2 linked regions of the Oryzias latipes genome follow. The protein of the gene in region 1 interacts with the protein of each later gene in a pairwise test. Links are inferred from orthologs where the notes say so. Each region holds a gene or a part of one and is shown on either strand. Other genes may lie near its edges.

Region 1 (2,694 bases):
ATTGAGACAGAATAGCCATTGGGGAGTCTTAAGTGATATCAGTGCAGGGTCAGAGGCAGATCTAAAGCAGCAGTTAGGCTGTTCTCTGATGACAAAACTGTGACAACAGATAGCTTTTCCTTTCCTAAACCTCACTTGCGTGAGAAGGAATAAACGAAAATCAGGAGTCATCACCAGCAGCAAAACAAGAATTTACAAGCTTCAATTATATTGAATTAATTTACATAAACCTTCTGTGAGTCAGAAAAAAGCAACACCTGTTCTTATTTTTTTGAATTTCAGTAAAAAAAAAAAAAAGAGAAGAATCCATGAAAAAAATGGTTTATGACAGTTAAAACCTTTCAGGTTTAGTTGATAAATGAAGTGTGAAAATCTGTAATTTATTCAAATGCAAAAGCCTAAAAGATGACGAATGTCAGAACTGGAAAAGTGGGTTTAGTGCCAAAACAACCAGTCCAGATGCTCAAAGGATTTAAACAGTATTTTTACACTTTTTTTTTAGTTTATTTTATAAAATTAAACAAAAGTTACCAGGATATATATAAAAAATAAACTTTTACAATTAATTAATTAAAATTCTCTAAAACTAAGGCCAGGTTTTGTAGTTTCTTTTCTACTTTTAGATTTTCAAACAAAATAATTACATTAAAACGGTTTTTACAACGACTTTATTTTGAAAAATTATTATATCATGACGTAGTAAAAAAAAATGAAACTACATATAAAACCGTTGCCTCCAGAAGCCAAACCTGGAAAAAGCAGGAGATAATAATCAGATTAACAAACAAGTTTTATTAAAAAATATAAAATTTCCTTAGACTCAGCCAAGGTAAATCTTAAAATCTCGGGTTAATTACAATTTTTTATTGGATTGATAATGATTGCTTTCCTAATGAATCGTAAACTAAGCAAATGGTGTAAACAGTAAAATAAAAAAATTCCAGGGTAAAACCTAAAACAATAAATACGTTAAAAAGAAAATATTTCTAGACAGGATTTCTTTTCACATTTCTGAAAACAGGTAACACAGAAAAAGCCAAAAGCCTTTCAGTAAAAAGTTAAAGATCTCCTTTTTTCCACAGGAACTTTTCATTCGTCTTCCAGAGACTCTTGCTCTCATTCTGTCCAGATTTCCTTCTGGCTGCTAGGTTGGTGTCGATACAAACTCTCTGGACTTCTTCTGGGTCTGTTAACCTGTTGATGCTCTCCTCATTGCCCTCATCCAGGATGTCCCATATGTCTCTGCGGGCTCCCTTTGGCGCCCGCGGCGGTCTGTGGACCTGCTCAGCAGTGCAGGGGCTTGAATCAGGATCGCCTGCTTCTCTTCCACCTGAAGGAGTTTTAGTCAGCTGCTGTTCCACCTTGGGTTTTGGTTTCAGTAATTCATCCAGAATGGACGTATCTCCTACCAGGTCGGTTAGAAAGGAGAACTTACTGGAAGTCCGGGTGGGTTTATGCTCCAGCTCGCCTTTCAGTGCCGCAGGGTTGGATGCTACGGCAGAGCTGAGGTCAGAAGAAGAAGGTGAATTTCTGTCTGTGCGGTTCAGGACAGCAGCAGCCGCCACGGACCCCAGACCACTGATGATGGCCTGATCCATGCCAGGACCACCCCCTGCTCTGTGGGCTCCAGAGCTGGAAACATTAGCTCTCTTTGTCCTCTTGGGTCCTCTGGCAGGGCAGACCTCCTGGTCGGTTAAGTCGGGGCTTGAAATGTTCGCCAGAGTTTGTAGTGCTTTCTTTTGTCCTTTCTTTTGCTTTCTGGGAGGTTCAAGGCCATCGTCTTTCTGGACGTCAGATCTATTTTGTGGCACAGAGACAGTATTTTGTAAACTTTGAGGTTTAGCTCCATCATTCTTGAGTCTTTTCCTGTCCCTCAAAGAGTCCTTCTGCGGGTCTTTTGGGATTGATGAAGAGGTGGCAGATGAGGTGGAGGAGAAGTTTTCTGTTATAATATTAGCAAGTTCAGGATGATTGAAGGACGTGTAATACTGTCGCAGCCATGCCAGTCTGTCAGCTGAACTTCTTTTCAGGATTTCTTCAGCAAACTGATGGACTGAGGCAAACGTGAACTTCTGTGCCATTTCCATTAGTTGTAACCTGGAGGCAAAGGACAATGACACAAAGAAAAGAGAGAAAAAGAGCTTTGTTTCAAGACAAATGGTCTGTCTTGCAAGAAAAACAACCGTATCAAGAGAGTTTTTCAATGGCAAAATATAAACAAATGTATTTCTTAAAATAAGAATTCTTGGTAATTTTACTTACCATTTTTCAGACATCCAATCTGGATGAATTACTGAAAGCATTTTTCTTACCCCATTGGCAGATTTTTTTTTGGCTTATCTCTGCCAAAATACCAGATTTTTTTTACTTATTTCTAATGGACCTGTTTTTGCAATACAGAAAGCCGTGACCCAGCATTATAAACCTGATAATGCTGAGTTACTTTAACCTTTATTAACACGGGCAAAACCAGCACACAATGGATTGGAATAAGTCATTAAAGTCTCACTCCAATCATCTTTTGATCCATTTTAAAAGCGTTCCCAGTGGTCTTTTAATCAAGGTTATGCCGTTTATAAATCAAAATAAATAAATATGTGTTGTTGTCTAGGACATAGTTTCTGCAGAGCTGTAGTAGTATGTTAGAAATTCACCTCTCAGTTGTGGGTGGGACCACAACCCTGCCCCTCTTCC
Region 2 (3,608 bases), on another chromosome or scaffold:
GCAGATTTAGAGGATTTGATTTTTTTTAAAACTTCTAATCATTTGTTGTTCCTAAAGTGCACTGAACTCTTGAGCTTCTGGGAATCTTAAGTTGAGCTCATAACATGTCATTTCCCTTGAGCTCTCTTTCCCACCCTCCTTCAATCCCGTTTTTAATTTAGTCAACTATCCAAAGCTGCTCTTTGCAATCAAGGCCTAAGCACTTGTAGAAATGCCTTCAGAAAGATGATTAAAGGCCTGACGAGAGACGACAATTTTTATGTCAAGAACAACCAAAGGTGAGATCTTTTTCCCATCGTTGCTTTTCATCATAGAAAGTTGTTTATGTAGAAAAAAATATGATGACATAAATTCTCATCTTTTTCCTTGAAATGTGTTTTTTGTCAGAGTGGCAGAGATCATGAGAAAAAAGATGATATTCCAAATCAGTGGAATATTACTGAATCTGAAATCTTAACCTGCTAGTAACAAAAATAGATACATAAAAATGGTTGACCAGAGTATTAGAGGATTTAGGAAGTGATTGGGACATGGAGAGAGGAGCAAAGAGAGAATAGTGTCGTGCAACCACACTTGGATTATCTACTTTTGACCAGCAGGAATAAGATGCACAGCCACCTCACACAGCCGTTCTTCTCTATAGCAACACATTCTGCTTGCAGTCACAAAGATGGCTGGGGTTTTCTTAGGAAGCAGGAAAAAGACTGCAGAAATCAAAACATTGCATGTATTTATCAGTTTACTCATACTTTGTGTAAGTTTTTGACCCACACTAATTTCATTTGAAAACATCTATTTTCTAAAACAAAAATGTTAAATATTCAGTTTATAAAAGTATTTTGACATGGAATGTTTTTGTTGAACAAGTGGTCCAAGGTTTTAAAAATGGGTTATGGCACTTTAAATAATTAAATACATAAATAAAAATAGGAAAGAAACAACTTACTCACTTCTCATATACTAACCTAAAATTAAACCAATTTTTACCAAAGAAAATCAGTCAGGCTTAATGTTGACAGTTACACAGATCAGAGCAACACTAAATTTTTCTGAAATTTATGTTGTTTTGACTGTTTGCCTGTAATTTGATATTTAAATAGTTCTTCGCCTTTTTTCTTATGAGAAACAGTTTTACAGCAGAGGATCTCCCAACTGAATAAAAACAAATATTGGAGGAGAAGTATGGAGGACCAGAAGAGACAAAGTAAAATAAATATGCACGCCATTAAACTGTTGAATAAACGTGTAATTAATTATTTAAAATTGAAAATCAATCAATAAATGTTTAAATATATGTGGCATTCATTCAAATATTAAAATAGCCATTGAAAACCACATTTAAATATTTCATAGTCCAGTGTGGGCTGAAAGGCACAAATTGGAATAAAAACATTTAATAGGAAATTATTAAATAAATTTACCATTAGTCATTTAAAATTGGAGATAAATAAATACAATTGGAAATCAATTTATTTTTAAATGTGAGTCATTAAAATAGCCATTAAATGCTGTTATTTCCACTGTTTTGTAAGTATCCCCAGAATTGTCATAACAAGTTTCTGTCAACAAGTATTTTCTGTGGTTGTCCCGCAAAACTCCATTGGGGGGCGGTAATGAGACCATCAACATTGTCATGTGACTTTAGCGATAAAAGCCTGTTTCCGGTTTCATGAGGTTTTTGTATGCATGGAAACCTCGTTAGACCGTAGGTAAAACATCCAAAGATGTCAGAGAAGCAGCGCGCGCTGCCTCTTTGGATGTCAAACAAAAATGTGAGGAAGAAGACGACACCTCTGAAGAGTCAAAGAAAAGGAAAAGCTGCGAGGTAGTGAGAGAAATAACACAGAATAGAATATTTCCTGCAGTGAAAATGTCCAAATATTCTGTTTCACTTTTGAATAATACACTCTGGTTTGACTGCAGGGTGCTTTTCTACTGCATGAATGAGGCCGAGCTGGTCGAAGCAGCTGTTCGATGTCTAACCAGCGGTTCCCCAATTCACCAACAGGTGGCGCTGCTTTCCCCTTTTATAATAATACTTTGAAATACTGTAACTCCAACGTTGGGGCTGCATCTATACATTAAGTGAATCGATTTTTTTTTTCTTTAAAAATTCTGCTTTTATTTATTGAGCATACTGACTTAATTCTCATGGATAAATAGTCACTATTTTTGTTAAGAGTTTGAAAATACTTTCTTTTCATACACAGATTTCTAAAAAGGGAAGCAACGCAAGAGAAAAAGTAAAGAACCCTTTGACGTCACCCAAAAGATTAAAGCAGATTTCAGAGGAAAAAGACTGGGACTGCTGCGATTACCCGGAGACGACCTATGTTTCTGAGACGGACTTGGACGTCACAGAAGTGGAAACGCTGCCGTACACCAGGAGCCCTGAGGCTGAGAGGTCACACCAGAATCAACGGACTGTGAGGAACGCCGATGCTGAAGCTGAGGGAGAACAGGAGAAACCAACAGAGGATGCAGCACATCAAGAGGACGAGGCCTTACAACTTGTGCGGGACATTTTTTTCACCTGATCACTGTTGTTGTAAATAAAATGTCTTTAAGGTAAAAGTAAACTGAAATCCTCAACATGTCATGAAAATATTGAGGTATCTTAATGTAAAGACAGCTATTTCACATTAAAGTTTAAGTTTAAAAAATATCTTACTATCAGAATTGACTTCAAACTTAAAATACAATAGAACTCCAGACTTCCTGTAGTTTTTAATGATTCTTCATCATTAACTTGGCTTGTTTCCTAATGGTCATGACATACAAAACCTCATGGGATCTCATGAGGTTACTGCAGAAAAAACCTCTCTTATGAATAAAAGCATATTGGTACTTTTTTAGTTTGTGAAAATGAAAGTCATGGCAGCTGTGATGACCCTAATGACTCAGATACTTTCTAATAAAGAACATTTGCGGTTATTGGCCTCCTGTTGTGTGAAAAAAACAGCCTTTATCAAAATGTTCATATTTAACTAGGTTGGATCAACTTATGTGTAAAATTATTTGTTTAGTCAAGTGTAAGTCAGGGGGGAAACGGTTGTACATATAGTGAAACTATTATGAAAAAGCCTTTTACTAAGGTGGTATTTGTTGTGGTTATAACACGAAAGCCCTCCTTCATTAATAACACAGAATGGACAATCACAACAAATCATTAGTTAGCAGTCTGATACTATGTGTGGGAACCAGATCTACGATTAAAAAAAAGGCCAAGTATGGACACAAAAGAACAATCCAAACTGAGAACAAACATCTGCTCCACCAGGAGAGCTTCAGTATCACCCACCGTAGGGCAGTTCATGACGACCACACCACTAAAGTGTTTATAGGAACATCTACAGTATGTATAAGCTTGAGAGCCCTGCTATAAATACTCAGCTTTAAAAAAAAAACAGCTGAAACACTACATTAAACCTATGTAATAAGATTTTATTCAAAAACTATTTTTTTAAATTAAACTATTTCCCCTCTTAAGTAAACAAAATGGAAGAGAGTCAGAGCTGTATGAATTGGGAGGGTAAGACGTTTTCTGCTGTTCATTCACTTTTGGAGACCGCCCGCGTGCCTGGATGGATGGAGGCGCGCGCGCAGCC

Evidence for each region.
Region 2: the proteins of ercc6l2 (region 1) and cell cycle regulator of non-homologous end joining interact in binary tests that used the Homo sapiens proteins (3 or more experiments, as listed by UniProt). The two-hybrid records come from large-scale screens. The link is inferred for Oryzias latipes from reciprocal best matches to the Homo sapiens genes ERCC6L2 and CYREN.

The regions. Positions count from the first base shown.
Region 1 is NC_019867.2:8,857,047-8,859,740, forward strand, and holds the end of ercc6l2 (DNA excision repair protein ERCC-6-like 2), read right to left. Parts: intron 2,098-2,694; coding exon 1,059-2,097; 3' UTR 773-1,058; downstream 1-772. UniProt on the Homo sapiens protein: Promotes double-strand break (DSB) end-joining and facilitates programmed recombination by controlling how DNA ends are joined in a spatially oriented manner during repair.
Region 2 is NC_019864.2:20,239,937-20,243,544, reverse strand, and holds cell cycle regulator of non-homologous end joining, read left to right. Parts: upstream 1-1,629; 5' UTR 1,630-1,724; coding exon 1,725-1,825; intron 1,826-1,923; coding exon 1,924-2,008; intron 2,009-2,210; coding exon 2,211-2,537; 3' UTR 2,538-2,934; downstream 2,935-3,608. Other genes in the region: uncharacterized protein LOC101168780, read left to right, coding at 3,585-3,608. UniProt on the Homo sapiens protein: Cell-cycle-specific regulator of classical non-homologous end joining (NHEJ) of DNA double-strand break (DSB) repair, which can act both as an activator or inhibitor of NHEJ, depending on the cell cycle phase.